3 linked regions of the Caenorhabditis elegans genome follow. The protein of the gene in region 1 purifies or fractionates together with the protein of each later gene. This does not show direct contact. Each region holds a gene or a part of one and is shown in the gene's direction. Other genes may lie near its edges. The genes, in order: usp-46, wdr-48 and wdr-20.

Region 1 (4,450 bases):
TAGATTCGTCAAACTTTTCAGACTTTTTGGCAGTTTTGGCAAATTACCAAAGTTTTGATGCTTAAATGAAATAGATTTATTAACAATTAATTTTTCAACAAAAATTAAATTTATGGAATTCGATAGAGAAAAACGAGCGAATAGGAAACAAGAGAAGACATTTTTTTAAAATACTTTTTATTAGAACACTAAAAACACAGCGAGTTATCAGATCTTCTTGAATAGGAAAAGTTCATCAGTCCTGATCGTATCCAAATTCACCTTGTTCTCGTAGAACTCCACTTCATCGGCGACTCGTGTCCATCCACCTTCCTCTCTTATCCAAGCAAATGATTGAAACGAGGTTGGGGTCTCCACAGTCTGCGTGAACCCAACGAGCAGAAAGTTGTGGCCCACGAAGTCCATCGGATTGGTGGTAGACATTTCCATCGGTTGATCATCGTGCTTATACACTCGAATCCATAGATACTCCGAGTTGTATTCGGTGAAGTCTAGGCGACGGTTCTGCTTTCCACTGTGACTGACTGCAGGATGATGCTTCCGTCATTTTTGTTGTTTCGACTGCATGCAATCCAAGAATGTTTGGCCGATCTTCAAATTGCACAAGACGTACGGAATGCTGGTGGATGTCGAACTTGTGTATGGGCTGCATCCTCCTGTGCGATTCACGAAGTTATAGGTGATCGGGAAGCGAAACAGAGCCCGAGCTTCTGTTCCTTTCCTGCACTCAGTAGAGATGTCCTGAAAGTTAAAATTATATTAATTTGTTAGTGTTCTGAGTAGGTATTGTACATCATATCAGAACAGGTGTATGTTCTGTATATTCTCTGTTAGTGCTGCATCTCCAGTAGCACGTGGTGTCAGAATGTCCCATAGTGGTTTGATCTACTTAGATCTACAAAAAAAGCGGGAATTTAGACGCAAAGTTCTCGACTGATTTTGCATGGTTAAGAACGTCTGACGTCACATCTTTTGAGCAAAAAAATCGCCGCATTTTTTGTAGATCAAACCGTAATGGGACAGCCCGATACCACGTTTCAACTTGTGCATCGAATGAAAAGGCGTGGTTTGGAATCTAGTTGATTTTTTGAGTTCAAAATCGAATTTTGAACAATTTTAATTTCTGTTTCAGATCAGATAACCAGATGCCTGCAGATAGAACGTCATGCCACTCCACGTTTCGCCATTTTCAAAGTTATTCATTCGATAGTGTCTCTTCCGTGGCGGCAATTTGAACTTTTATCGAGAAGGTGCTAATGCGCTCTAGCGTACACTCATATTTAATTTATTTTAACGATTTTTCAATTCATTTTTTATCGATTATTTGTTTATTTAGAAGTTAAAAGCTATTTCAAGGTTTCAAATCAGTAAAATAACTAATGAACATTTTTAAAATCACAATTTTATTTTATTTTTGTACTTTCCATCTCTCTTGATTGGTCTTGTTCGGGTAGTTCTTCTTCTAATACTTATTTTAAATATTTTAAGGTTTTTAAGGCTGCAAAATTTAGCGAAACACACTGCAAACGTATGGGAATACTTGTAGAACAGCAAATCTGAGAGACGGAGAGACGGCGAAAGAAAAAAAGAGAGATGGCTGTGTTCTCTCTCATCGCTATTGCCCACACTCTCTGTCTCCCCTTCTTTGCCCCCTCTTTATCGTTCTATTTCACGTTGTTCCGCTAGTAACCGTTATTCTGAAAATCTGTTTTTTTCTTGTAGCTGTTGGCACACTCAATGGGAGCTACTGGATCATCACAACTGGAAAAGGAGATCAGTACCACTGAGTCAGTTAATAATGCCAATGAACACTATTACGGGCTAGTAAATGTCAGTGGAATTTATCGAGTTTATCGAGTTTAATTCTTTTTTATTCAGTTTGGAAATACATGTTACTGCAACTCAGTGATTCAGGCGTTGTTCTTCTGCCGGCCGTTTCGAGAAAAAGTTCTCAATTACAAGCAAACTTTGAAGAAATCGGGTTAGTATTTAAAAATTCTATTTAGAAAAATCATTAAAGTAAAATTTAATTTTGTCAGGCGCTTCAAAGGACAACTTGGTTACGTGTCTAGCTGATCTATTTCATAGTATTGCCAGTCAAAAACGAAGAGTAGGAACAATTGCTCCAAAACGATTTATTACTAAATTAAAGAAAGAAAATGGTGAGGTTTTTTTTAAAAATTATTTTTCCAATAATCAGACTATTAGTTTAATTTTATAGAGCTCTTCGACAACTACATGCAACAAGACGCTCACGAATTTTTCAATTATCTCATTAATACAATATCGGAGACACTAATTCAAGAGAAAATCGCAGAACGAGAGAAAGCGTCTCGCCACGGAACACTCAAAAAAGGAAATGTCACAGTTAATTTGGCACCTGCCACTGCGGGTCTTCCACGATCAGATGAAAAAGGAACGAGTGAACGAAATGGTGGAATTACGGTGGAAGGCAACGAGTTTTTGAATAAATCTGACACTACTACGTGGATTCATGAAATATTTCAAGGAATTTTGACAAATGAGACGAGGTGTTTGAGTTGTGAAACTGTGTCAAGTAAAGATGAAGATTTTCTGGATTTATCGATTGATGTGGAACAGAATACTTCAATTAGCCATTGTCTACGGGTATTTAGTGAAACGGAGACACTTTGTGGTGATCAGGTATTTAATTTGATCTTTTTGGAAGAAATTTTTAACAAAATGAGCCAATTTGGCATAGTCTCTCAATATTTTTCATTGAAATTCAGTGACAAAACATTGCAAAAATAATTGCTTTATCTCAAATTCGAAAACAAGAAAAACTATCAAAAATTGCGAAAATTTTTGATAATTTGATCGAACTTGTTTTATCATATATTTAAAAATCACAAATAGTTTCTCTTAAATTTAATTCTCTTTTATTTCAGAAATATTTCTGCGAAACGTGCTCGTCGAAACAGGAAGCTCAAAAGCGAATGCGAATCAAGAAACCTCCTCAACTGCTGGCTCTCCATCTGAAACGATTTAAATTCGTCGAACCTCTGAATCGACACACAAAGCTTTCTTATCGAGTTGTATTTCCACTGGAATTGCGGCTATTCAATGTGGTTCGTAAATATTTGACTGAAAAATACGGTTCCCGGTCTCGACTCGACAATTTTAAATGCAAAAAGGCGTCCGCCCCTTTAAAGAGTACTGTCATTTAAAATTTTGCGTATTTTTTACTGATTTCCGACAAATTTAAAGAAAGAAAAAACTAAGTAAAAATTATAAAAACTCCGCAGCAACGAAATTTCAAAACTACAGTATCCCCTGTTTAATTTCTGCATTCAACAAAAATTGCCGTGTCGAGACCACGTCTTTCCTCCGCAGCATAATAATGATCAAATTTTCAGAGCGATGATGCTGAATACGGTGATCGGATGTATGACCTGGTCGCAACAGTGGTTCATTGTGGAGCTACTCCAAATCGAGGTCATTATATCACTTTGGTGAAGAGCAATTCGTTTTGGCTGGTATTTGATGATGATATTGTTGAAAAACTGGAAGTTTCATCAATGGAAGAGTTCTCTGGAATGTCCACGGATGCAAATATTCAAATGCCACCTGGAAATCAATCAGCTCCTCAAAAGAATTCCGAATCTGCCTATATTCTGTTCTATCAGGCAAGAGACTACGCTGCTGATGATCCAAATCATAATCATAAAGGAAAAAATAGTACACACTCCGTCTAGTGAATAATTTATAAATTGTTTAATAATTTCATCCCGAGACTCTTCTGAAACGAGTAAAAGCTTACCTTCCGATTTTTCATCAATTGTCGCTGTTACAATTTGTTGACCATAGTACTATAGTTTCATACAATTTTCTATCACACTATCTCTCCACTTTGCTGTTATGTAAATTTTTCTTTTTTTTAAAACTTGTAATCATTTGTATATTTTATGGATAAATTATTCTAGAATTTGAAAGGCACTTGGAAAATTAAATTAAACCGATTAAATCTTTTTGAAAAATCACAAATGAGAACCCGAATGAGGGGGAGACCCGCGTACAAAAAAGTAAGAAAAGGCACTGAATAACTGGGGGGAAAGACTGGAAAAAATGAAAATTGCAAAACTGGAATGAGGATAACAATAAATAAATGATATAATATTATGGACTATGATTTGCAATAAGGTGTCCAATTCAGATCGCAGTGTAAGGCGACATTGATAATGGTAACTGAAGTTCCAGAAAAGTCGAGGAGTTGGCGACTATCGATGAGGTAGCGGACGTCGTGGAGACCGGATACCTGGAATTTTTCTAATAGGAAATTAAATATTTATTTATTCAGATGGGTCTTGCCACGAGACCGTAATTTTAAAGGCACACACTGTGTTTTGATTAGTGGGTCTCGCCGCGATCTCAGCTACAGTAAGTTAAAATTTTTCTCAAGGTTTTTTTTTTTGAATAATTCAGGAAAAAT
Region 2 (5,069 bases), 5.2 Mb from region 1:
ACGGATGGAAATTGATAATTGACAGATTGAATTGCTAACGGTGATTCTTCGAAAGGAACACAGAAAAAGCATAGCCTGTATAGAAGAACGCCCAGTGCCCAGATATCAGATTTTAGGCCTGAAAAAATAAAGAATTCGACTTTTTCATTGCATTCCTTCAATTTTTTAATACTAAAAACGAACCAATCTCTAATCCACTGTAAAAATCAATCATTTCAGGCGATCGATAACACATAGTCGTATTCCTTTCCACTTCTGACTTCACATATTCTACTCCATACTTTTCCACAGATAAAATTTGAGTGGTAGCACTTCCAAAATCGCAGAGAACGTAATGTGGTGGTTTATGGGAAGAAATGAGTACATTTTCAACTTTTAAATCGCGATGAATGATAGGTTGTGGCCGATTATGAATGAAGGATACGGCTTCACAGAGATCCGTGAAAATTGAGAGAATCTCGTCGTTTGTTAAATATTGGTTTTGAGATATTCTTTCGTTCATCAATTGCAAGACGTTTTCTGGAAAAAATATGATGATTTTTCAAAGTTTTCCATGTTTTATTTAATATTTTAATTATGATTTATTTTCCGGTGTTATCTCACTCACTTTGATGATATTCTGTCAACAGCATGCATTCCCAAATACCATTTCCAAGGCAATTTGTATAACTGTCAACGAATTCCACAATATTTTTATGACCAATACATTGTTTCTGAAAGATCATACAACATTTGCAAGTTTATTCGAGCTTCTTCTCACCAGAAAACTGTGCTCTCTGCAACATGCCTCCAGCTGTTTCTCATTGTCTTTGGTGAATTGACGTTTCAAGGCGAATTTATTGTTTTTTCTATCGCTCGCAACGTAGACGATTGCAAATCCACCTGGAAGAAAAATATTGCGAAATATTCAGAAAAACAAGAACAATTATGGAGTTTAATAAGAGGATTAAATTTAAAAAACCTACCTTCGGCGATTTGCTTCTCTATAGTGACTCGTGTATGGTCTAACTTCAATGTGACACCTGAAAATTCAATTAAAAATGAAAGAAACTGTTAAATGTTCAAATACCTTTGCATTTATTCTCACTTAATTGTTTCGGTTCCTTTTTCTTGCCTCCAGGAATTTTTTCATCACACAGAACTTGTGCTTTTCCAGAGCTGAAAAGCCCTAGAGGCATGGCTTTTCGCCTGAAATTAGTAAATTTTAATAAAAGAGTTTCAATATTTGATGAGAGTGATATCGAAAAACGAAAAATTTTCATCAAAACTAGATTTTCTCGAGCGAACAAATTGATCGACAGGAGAAAAGAGTGTCGGAACGCAGGGAGGCGGGGCGCAATAATGGGCGTGGCTGAATTGCAAACATGCGGCGCAGTTTTTGTTGTCTTTTTCGCACAGAGCTCTTTTAAAACATGTTTTGTTGTTTTTATTGACAAAAGTCTATAATTTGCCGTATACTTTTGTTTTTCTTCATTTTTTTTTCTGAAAACCATCATAACATTCTATATAAGATACCGTTAATTAATTTTTTGCATTAAAAATAACTTTTTTCTCGCAAATCGATGAATCTTTTAACTAGAAATATTTGTCATCACTATTTTCCAGATCTCAAAAGGCGTTCAATGCAATAAAATGAGTAGCTGTGTAAATACCAGTCAAACTGGTCCAAAAAAGAAAATCTCATTTATCATTCGCGATGAGCACGAGTATTCAAATCGTTCGGCTGTCAGTGCTCTGCAATATGATGCACAAAACGGAAGACTGTTCACTGGCGGCAGTGACACTATAATCAGAACATGGTCAGTGCCACACCACAAGGTTTGATATATAAACTATGAATTCTAAAAAATACCGAATAAATTCATGATCAGGACGCTTTCTCGGCACGTGGCGGAGTTCGTTCGCCAGGAAAGAATTCTCCAGTTCAGTATCAAGGATCATTAGAACAGCATACCGATTGGGTGAACGATATGATTCTTTGTGGACATGGAAAAATTCGTGAGTGGTTTTGCGATATTTCTGCAAATTATATAAATATATTTCTTTCAGTAATTTCGGCCTCAAATGACACAACTGTCAAAGTTTGGAATATCGAACGGGACAACAAGCACGGATTTATCGATTGTATCCGAACTCACAAGGTTTGTGAAACTTTTCTCTTTAATTATTAAGAATGAATAAAATTCAGGACTACGTTAGTTGCTTGGCCTACGCACCGATTGTAGAGAAAGCTGTGAGCGCAAGTTTCGATCACAATATTTTCGTGTACGATATCAATGCTAACTTCAAAACTGTAAATAATCTAATTGGCTGCAAGGACAGCATCTACTCACTCGCCACAACTCCTAATTTATCGCTTGTTCTTGGTGCTGGAACGGAAAAGGTGAGGAATTTTAGCATTCTAGCCTTCTACTAGTTTTTATTTTCAGTGCATTCGCCTTTTCGATCCAAGAACCAATGAGAAAATAATGAAATTACGTGGTCACACAGATAATGTACGTGCGCTGGTGGTCAATGATGATGGAACACGCGCACTTTCTGCTGGATCAGATGCCACAATTCGACTGTGGGACATTGGACAACAGAGATGCATTGCCACGTGTATTGCTCATGAAGAAGGAGTTTGGACTCTTCAAGTACTGATCCTCTCTGATAAAATCTTATTAGAATCTATGATTTTTAGGTTGACTCATCGTTTACAACGGTTTACAGCGCAGGAAAGGACAAAATGGTTGTGAAAACTCCGTTATATGATTTCACTAAAAGTCAGCTTCTGTTCAAAGAAGAAGCCCCTGTGAAAAAGTTACTTTTAAGTGAAAAAGATAATCCAGTATCTCTTTGGGTCGGAACCTGGAAGTCTGATATCAAGCGGTAAAAGAATTATTTTATTAAAAAAATAAACTTTCAGTTTTCAGCTGGTCCATCCGCCCATCAGCCCAACTTTCGATTGGAGGAGACGAAGATGGTCCTTCAACTTCAAATGCAAATCACTCAGTATCAGCTTCATCATCACCTCCAGTAACATTCAAGTATATCCGAGTGAAGGATCAAAAAGGACAACAGAGCACACCAGAGCTCGTTATTCCTGGTAAACAGACTATATGCAGATATAATTTTTAATCTGTTTATTCAGGCGCTCCTGCCATCAAGAAACATGCCATGTTGAGCGACAAACGACACGTTTTGACACGAGACTCGGATGGAAATGTGGCGCTATATGATGTTTTAGCAGCAAGAAAGGTTTGTCCCCATTATTAAAAGTTACTACTTGAATTTTGATAAAATTTCAGATAAAAGATTATGGAAAGCGAATATTTGAAGAAGTTGTCGATGAGAACTCTAGGCAAGTATACATTCCAAGCTGGTTTGTCGTTGATTCAAAAAGTGGAGTGAGTTTTAAGTTTTATAAATTTTTGAAAAATAAAACCCTATTCGATTTCAGATGCTCCAAATCACTTTGGACGAGCTGGACGCTCTCTCCTCGTGGCTTTCATCAAAAGACGCAGGTTTTGATGATAATGATCGAGAGACAAAACGTAAGATATTATACGAAAATAAAAACTTTCTCATTCCTTTGTAAGAAATTATAGTGAATTACGGTGGAATGATGCTACGATCACTCTTCGAACGATGGCCACCTTGTAAAATGACAAATGTTGATGCAGCTGATGCAGATGATGTGCAAAAAGCAACACTGAATTTTATTTCTCTACCGGAACACACACCGCTTATTATTTGGTAAAATTATTTGAAGGCTCAAATTTTAAACATTAAAAAAACTAATTTCAGCGAAGGAAATGGTCGTCCGCTCTACCGTCTTCTTGTTGGCGACGCTGGGAAGGAGTTCGAAGCAAATGAGCTGGCACAAATTGCACCCATGTGGGTTATAGACGCAATCGAACGAAATCAGCTGCCGAAATTCAATAAAATGCCATTTTATCTTCTTCCACATCCGTCGACAAATCCCAAACAGCCTAAAAAGTTTGTGAAAACGCGGGGTTCATTCATTAAAATTTTGAACTATTTTCAGAGATCGTCTGTCAGCAACTGAAATGCTTCAAGTTAAGAAAGTGATGGAGCATGTTTACGAAAAAATACTCAGCACTAATGATGGTAAGGTATTTAGAAATAAGAAGATATTAATGGTGTTTGAAGATATTACAGTTGGCTCGATTCCACTAAATCAAATTCATACAAAAATGGAAATGTACTGCAATGATCAGAGGTTGGAGCCGGATATGGATTTGCGAACAGTCAAGCATCTCTATTGGAAGCAAAGTGGAGAGCTTCTTCTACATTATAAACCAGTTAAATAGCTTTAACATTTAATTTAAGTTATTTATTTGAACATACTTATCTAACATTTGTACTTTATTGAAAATTCACTGTCTAACTTCTTTTTTGATACGGGTAAAACCGACTTTCAATTAAATTCCATGCTCTTTCCATATGTCTTTCTTTCTTTTTTAAAATTATGATGGTTTAACTACCAGCTTATCTTCATTTCTTGCTTAATATTTTTACCTCCTACCGTATTCGTTCCAGATGGCTAGTTTGGAAGAACATGAAAAACTGATCGAAGTAGGTTTTATTGAAATTTCTTCCAATTTTAAGCCAATTTTTTTCAGGAGTGGAGAAACGATTACATCGCAGAACGCAGTTCGAAAAAGGGATGGGAGATTCTGGAAAAACTTGCAAAGATGCAAATTGAAGCGGCTCAGCAAATGGAGTACGTTAAATGAATATCAGATAGTATCAAAATGAAATTATTTCAGAACAGAAGATGACGTGGCCGCTGCTGATTTTGATGACTTCAGCACCAGCAAGCTTGTAAAATTGATTATTGGAGATATTTCAACCAAAGATCTTCTTGTCGATCATCAGGTACCTGACATCAATTTTTAGACTATTCTAATCTAATAAAAAAAAATTCTAATAAAAATTGTAATATCTCAATCTTTTACAGATAATTCTTCTCGAATTCATTCCATCTGCACATCCGAATATTCTTCGCCATGTAGTCCGCACAGTCCGTGAGAAGGAAGGAGCGATTTCCCTTTTGAAGTCAT
Region 3 (6,278 bases), on another chromosome or scaffold:
CATAACATTCACATTTCAGTGAAAAACTGGTCCAGGAAAAGAGGGAAATTGAAATTTCGAGGTCAAAAATTAAATAAACTAAAATCGTGGAAAATGGTCGTAGAGAGCTGTGCTTTCAGCATCCATTCGGCATTTATGTACTAATTACGAATTTAACATAAAATCCCATTCGGTAGTGGAAAATTTTTTATTTTTCCAGCAAAAACGTCATTTTTTAGAGAAAATCATGAAATTTGCGATTTCTGAAGTTATTTTTGACTTTTTTGTAAAAAAAATTATATTTTTGAAGAGACAATTTCCTGAAAAATACGTTTTTCGAAAAATTTACCCCAAAAAGTGCCAAACTGACCGACTTATGGCCGAAAAACCATCAAAAATCGCTAATTTGCACACCAATAAAAATGTAATTTTCGATTTCACACTAAAGAGCCCACTTCTATAGCTTAAAAGAGTCGTAGAATTTTTTCAAAATACACGTTGGAAAGAGCTGGTCGAGTTGTATACACCCCTAAAAAATCGTGAAATAATCTCAAATATTCGAATTTTCCTTCAATTAAAACCACCGGAAAATGAGGAAAAATAGCGATTTTTGAGTTTGACTCAAAATATCTCGGCTCAATGAGCTCAGATCGAGAAACGGTAAAAAACAAAAAGTAGGAAAAGCCTTTTTGAAGAGATGAAAAAAAAGAGCTCGAATTTTCATCCATCCAGCGCTGAGCTATAAGCGTTGCCAACTTGGACACATCAAAAATGAAAAAAAAAACGAAGGTTTGCGCGACATCGGATGTCCAAAGTTTTTTCAAAAACACCTACCCGTGGCACACACGCGATTTAAGAGAGGAAAATGCAGATTTGCCGATATTTATAAAGAAAATAAGGACGCTCAGCTCCTACATAACTTTCTTATTATTTAAAATTCTATATCTTATAAACTTCGAGGGTAAGTTTCTAAATAAATGTTTATTATCGTTTTGAATAAATTCCATTGGCTACTCTATTTTTGAAAAATAGTTGTCTTACCGGGAAGAGCGTGCAATTTGAGAAAATCGATCACTTCGTTTTCAGCATCAGCCATTGAGTACTTGCTTGCAATTATTTTTTCCATTAAACCATTTTCATGAAACGTATTTCTTGGCCATTCTTCCATGTTGTCAAGAACTTCTTTTGGCTGATGAATAACAATATCTGGCCCAGTCGCAATTGTATTCAATTCTGAGTCTGTCACGATCAAAGCAATCTCACAGAGTGTCTGAAAAAGTTTTATCGATTAACAAAGTTCTTAAAAAATACAAAAAACTAACCTGCTTTTCAACGTCCAGGCCTGTCATTTCACAGTCGATCCAAATGATTCGTTGCTCGATTTTGTCACAGGTATGGTAGAGTGTAGACATTGCGCGTCGGCTGATAGGTATATTGATTGACTTTAAAAGAGCTCCTAGCATGCACTCTGAAAACATTGCGGATGAAGATGAGGAAAAATAATCATATTAGGCAATACGTAGACTGTTTTTCATAATATATTAAATACCCGCGTTTCCAAATGCGTAAAAAAGAACAGATAACATGTAGGTATCGAAATTTAGAGTTTAACATTTAATAAATATAAATTAATTCACTATGAATTGTTAATTTTTCTCAAAAAAACATTTTACATCCAGAAAAACTTTCAAGAAAAACGGATAAAAATTCAACACAAAGAAATTAAGTGCAAGTGCGCTCCGTCAGACATGCGTAGCGTTTAGAGCCGCGACGCATTCAACGGTATGAAATATCAAACTTTAACAGTGTCTTCCTTCTATCTTCTGATTCCCGTTTTCTGAAAACTTGTTTTTTTCCTGGAAACATTTTTAATCTGTGTTTTGCCCCTCTGGAATTGTTTCTCTTTTCTCTTAAAACCCCAAACTCAAAAGCCGTCATCTGTTCTGAAAACGAGTTTTCCAGATATTTGACAATTCTGCTTTATTGACAAATTTAAGGATGAGCAGACGGGCTTGAAATGCGGAATGTCGCGAATATTCTCAAAGCTAAGGTTTGTATTAAAGTCATACTTAAATGAAGGTTTTAAAATTTCGCAATGTTCCCCTGTGAAAATCATTTTGTCATCGTTGTATTAAAGTTTTTTGAAGACTGGTTTCACACGATGATGCATCAGCATATGCTTGGACCGTCAACTTCGCTAGGTGGTACTAATAATTCTGCTCTTCAATCTTCTGTTCTTTCCGAAGGTAAGTTTTTTAAAGGCTTGAAAAGTATGTTGATCAATTTTTATGATTATGTCATTACTGTCATTGCTTTAGATTAATAAGGTCTCATGAGATTGAAAAAAGTTCAAAGGACAATCTAGACAATCTCTAAATATCGACGAATTCAATCCTCTGAGGTTTCTTTGCAAATTCCGATAAGTAGTGTTCCTCATTAAAAAACGTTTCGAAGATGCATCCACTAGATTATAAAATGCATGCCAAATGGTAAACTTTTCCATAAATGCTTTTTTGCAGGTGTCCTTCTTTCCCATTCTCAACCTACACGAGAAGAGATAAAGAAAAACTTCGAGACGCGAGAAGGTGTCTATCGGAGCGTCCCATCGGCCGAATTCTCGCGTCCTCGGCCCCTTCCACAGTACCACATGCCACCGGGAATCGCATCGGCTGCTGCAAGTCAGATAGCAGCTGCGGGCTCTACTGTTCGTGTAAGCTTTCTCAATGGCGCAGAGAAAAGTGTGGAATCTCCCGAGGCTGTGGCACCAACTAGTTCAACTTACGAACACCATAAAAATGAGCCGAATGGAGCACGAATAGACATGGTGAGATTTTTTTCTGCAAGACATCGTAGATTTTATCAGACAAAAAGATAACTCCCAACCTTGAAGAATGCTTGTACTTATAGGTGGATGAGGCACAGGCTGACAAGATTTGCTTCAATGTTGGAAAAGAACTTTATGTGTTCTCGTATAGGTTAGATTATTCATCGATAGCTTTAAACTTTATTGTTTTTCAGAGGAACTCAAACTGAAACTGATTTATCTCGACCGATCGACAAGAGAGTTTATAAAGGTACTTCACCGACTTATCATGCTTTTAACCAGGAATCGGCTAAAAATGGATCATGCCAGTAAGTTTATCAAACGTTGGAGCTAATTTTATACATTTCCTTACATACTATAATGACCGATTGACAAAATTATTGTTTCCAAAATTATTTAATACTTTTCAGGCTGCTAATAGGGTTCACTCTCGGTCAATTACAAATCATCGACCCACTAGAAAAATCATCATCATCACCGTTCAGCAGACTGTACAATGAAGATAGATACATCGAAAAAACTTCCGTCACATGTATCCGCTGGCTACCTGGTAAGTAATAGAAACAAACTCGTTTTCAATAATATTTTATTCAGGCGATTCAAACATTTTCTTGGCGTCATATGTGTCGGGCAATCTTTATGTATATGACCAAAGAATTTCTGCTGCGAGTAGCAACAATAATGGAAGCTCACAGCCTCCGCCGTGGACTATTCATAAAGAGGTTTCTTTTTGTTTCTAAAATTGGAAGCATATATTTATATTGATTTTGCAGGGTGACAAGTTCGCGATTCACACGTGGAAAGGCAAAGTTCAGCGGAATCCAGTTACCAGGTGGCAAATTGGAGAAGGTTCAATTCACCAGTTCAGTTTCTCTGGATCAGATGGGAAAATGATGGCCACGGTGTCACATGATGGGTTCCTCAGGATTTTCAATTATCATGCACAAGAATTGCTGGCAGTTATGAAATCATATTTCGGTTGGTTCATTATCTTCGAAAAAAATCAAATATTCATGAAATTTAAGGTGGATTGCTTACGCTCTCATGGAGCCCTGATGCAAAATTGATTGCCACTGGCGGCGAAGATGATCTTCTAACAGTTTATAGTGTAGCTGAGAAACGAGTAGTTTGCAGAGGACAAGCTCACAAAAGTTGGGTTAGTCAGGTCAAGTTTGATCCTTATTTATGCACAACCGAAGAAGATCTGGAAAATAATGGTATTGCGATGACATCTACGTTTGACGACGTTGCAAAGGATTTCTCAATACGTTCGGGACCAGTACCATCTACTAGTGCAGATTTGAATTCTGGAGTGATGAATGCAACTTCAACATTCTCTCGTTGTTCACTTGCTTCGTTTAACACTATCAACGGAGCTCCAGCTGGAAACAGTGTCCGTTATCGAATAGGAAGTGTTGGACACGACACATTTCTATGCCTGTGGGATATAACAGAAGATATGTTGAACCAAGGAAACATTCGACGTCATCGAAATTCAACAATAATTGCCCCAATGACTACCCTCGAAGTACAGACGAATTCTCTAGTTGGAAGACTTGAAGATCTTCAGGAAGTCTCTCCTGGTGGTGCTGGTGTTAATGCATCTTCTGATTCACAGTCTATAACTAATAATCACACAACTCCTCGCCCAGAAAAACAAAAAAAGAAGAAATTTACAAAACGTCTAGGATTTTCGAAGTTTACTTCTGGAAGCTCCAGTGCTACATCAAATCCGGTTGGTGGCCACAAAATTGGCACATTGATGAATGGTGCATCAGTAAATTCTGAAAGGTATGTCGATTTATTCAGAATTTATAATAATATGTTAATTTTCAGTTCCAAGAAACAAAACCCCGGGCTAATTTCTCAAATAAGCTGCTGTAACGAAACGCGGATGTTGGGTTCTAAATTTTGTCCAGGGATTCGAGATGTTCCTATGATCGGTAAGCTTATACTTAAAATTAAAATACGATTCACTAGTCAGATCCGGAAAATCGCGAAATTTTTGAATCATTTTTCTATCACGAAAAAAAAGACAAAATGAACGAGAAAGCACTTGTGAAATATTTTTCAGAACCGTTAATGTGCAAAAAAGTATCGCATGATCGTCTGACAGTTCTTGAATTCCGAGAAGATTGTGTTGTGACTGCTTGTCAAGAGGGATATATCTGCACATGGGGCCGCCCCGGCAGATATCAACCAAAACGAGATTGCATCAATTCACCAGGAACAGCAAGTCCGGAATCAGGTCAAAAACCATCTGGATCTACGTCCGCTATGACTTCTTCATATGGATACGGCTCAGATGCTTTGAATGGAGTTCCACCTTCACGATCATCAAGTACCTACAGTAATAGTGAGTTTATTTAATCTAAGAAAATGTCTCTAAAAGTTTTCCAAGTTACTTAGGCGAACAACAACTTCGTTCACCGAATATCACATCCCCGTCATACCGGGTTTCAGCTGCCAGTACTTCTGTTTATCATCGCCCAACATATGCCTGGCAGAATGCAAATTAACCACTCCACTTCGGGTATCTTAAATTTTCTTTACTAGGTTCTTATTCTTTTTTATTGTTCACTTAATCTTATTTATTGTCGTCAAGCGTAATGCTCTGATCTTTAGGATGTATACTGTAACATGATTTTTCTGGATTATTTCTAATTGTAAAGCCCGGCAAAGTTGTTTGCCATTGTTTGCAAACTATGATCACCTGCTCACATTTTTCTTTTATTAATGACTTAACGTTCCAACTTCGCAGATTTAATTTTCTATATTACTGTGCCAGTAGGATCCATGTGCCTAGTTTTTCTTCACCCTAAAACTCACCCCGTTTCATTCTCGTTGTTTAATTTCTGGTCTAATGAATTGTGTATTTATTTAAATATCGTTATTTTACTTCTTCTCGATTTTATTCGGTTCACCTTGCCGTTCATATTAACCATTTTTGCTAAATGTTTTCATATTTTTTGTGATTGCCATAATTTGCAGAATGTCCGAAGCAAAAGAAAATATGGAGGTCAGCAAAGCTGAACAGGCGATTTACGATCGACAAATTCGTTTATGGGGAATGGAAGCTCAAAATAAGTAAGTTTAAATTTTTTCGAATAAAATACTATTGTTTCGTTTTCAGAATCCGAAACTCTAAAGTTTTGATTATTGGTGGAAAACAGCTTGGTGCGGAAGTGGCAAAAACTCTGTCACTCGCTGGTGTTGACGAGATGCATTTAGTTGATCATCGGCTTGTTGATACAGAAGAAATTGGTATGAATTTTCTCTACGACGCTTCGGTTGATAATTCAAAGATGACGGTTTGTAATTAATTCGAATTATACATATCTTATGAACGTTGTTTTCAGAAATGGGCGGCATCATACAATTTTCTTTATAATTTGAACCGCAATGTGAAACTTTTCATCGTCGAGGAAGATGTTCTATCGAAAAATGATTCGGAAATCGAAGAGTATTTGACTAA

The links.
Region 2: the proteins of usp-46 (region 1) and wdr-48 purify together in Caenorhabditis elegans (affinity purification with western blotting, with the first as the bait; one study listed by BioGRID). This does not show direct contact.
Region 3: the proteins of usp-46 (region 1) and wdr-20 purify together in Caenorhabditis elegans (affinity purification with western blotting, with the first as the bait; one study listed by BioGRID). This does not show direct contact.

What each region holds. Positions count from the first base shown.
Region 1 is NC_003281.10:9,774,901-9,779,350, forward strand, and holds usp-46 (Ubiquitin carboxyl-terminal hydrolase 46), read left to right. Parts: upstream 1-1,722; 5' UTR 1,723-1,737; coding exon 1,738-1,830; intron 1,831-1,878; coding exon 1,879-1,981; intron 1,982-2,039; coding exon 2,040-2,162; intron 2,163-2,221; coding exon 2,222-2,664; intron 2,665-2,909; coding exon 2,910-3,089; intron 3,090-3,377; coding exon 3,378-3,716; 3' UTR 3,717-3,950; downstream 3,951-4,450. Other genes in the region: sqv-3 (Xylosylprotein 4-beta-galactosyltransferase), read right to left, coding at 4,145-4,276. UniProt on the Caenorhabditis elegans protein: Regulates the abundance of the glr-1 glutamate receptor in the ventral nerve cord by promoting its deubiquitination and preventing its degradation in the lysosome. Contributes to the regulation of embryonic polarity.
Region 2 is NC_003281.10:4,577,250-4,582,318, forward strand, and holds wdr-48 (WD repeat-containing protein 48 homolog), read left to right. Parts: upstream 1-1,632; coding exon 1,633-1,818; intron 1,819-1,871; coding exon 1,872-1,998; intron 1,999-2,049; coding exon 2,050-2,141; intron 2,142-2,188; coding exon 2,189-2,383; intron 2,384-2,429; coding exon 2,430-2,636; intron 2,637-2,683; coding exon 2,684-2,871; intron 2,872-2,915; coding exon 2,916-3,088; intron 3,089-3,133; coding exon 3,134-3,240; intron 3,241-3,290; coding exon 3,291-3,389; intron 3,390-3,442; coding exon 3,443-3,536; intron 3,537-3,590; coding exon 3,591-3,738; intron 3,739-3,789; coding exon 3,790-3,981; intron 3,982-4,030; coding exon 4,031-4,316; 3' UTR 4,317-4,437; downstream 4,438-5,069. Other genes in the region: Serine/threonine-protein kinase sel-5, read right to left, coding at 1-118, 184-519, 608-713, 761-882, 966-1,022, 1,070-1,178; F35G12.12 (26S proteasome non-ATPase regulatory subunit 5), read left to right, coding at 4,546-4,581, 4,629-4,729, 4,776-4,884, 4,967-5,069. UniProt on the Caenorhabditis elegans protein: Together with wdr-20, binds to and stimulates the activity of the deubiquitinating enzyme usp-46, leading to deubiquitination and stabilization of the glr-1 glutamate receptor.
Region 3 is NC_003283.11:10,129,812-10,136,089, reverse strand, and holds wdr-20 (WD repeat-containing protein 20 homolog), read left to right. Parts: upstream 1-1,939; 5' UTR 1,940-1,962; coding exon of another isoform or gene 1,963-1,995; 5' UTR 1,996-2,029; intron 2,030-2,126; 5' UTR 2,127-2,143; coding exon 2,144-2,225; intron 2,226-2,498; coding exon 2,499-2,803; intron 2,804-2,886; coding exon 2,887-2,954; intron 2,955-2,997; coding exon 2,998-3,111; intron 3,112-3,213; coding exon 3,214-3,353; intron 3,354-3,397; coding exon 3,398-3,525; intron 3,526-3,576; coding exon 3,577-3,781; intron 3,782-3,828; coding exon 3,829-4,594; intron 4,595-4,639; coding exon 4,640-4,746; intron 4,747-4,877; coding exon 4,878-5,159; intron 5,160-5,195; coding exon of another isoform or gene 5,196-5,212; coding exon 5,213-5,322; 3' UTR 5,323-5,685; downstream 5,686-6,278. Other genes in the region: C08B6.8 (putative oligoribonuclease), read right to left, coding at 1,021-1,249, 1,302-1,391; SUMO-activating enzyme subunit aos-1, read left to right, coding at 5,796-5,890, 5,937-6,114, 6,163-6,278. UniProt on the Caenorhabditis elegans protein: Together with wdr-48, binds to and stimulates the activity of the deubiquitinating enzyme usp-46, leading to deubiquitination and stabilization of the glr-1 glutamate receptor.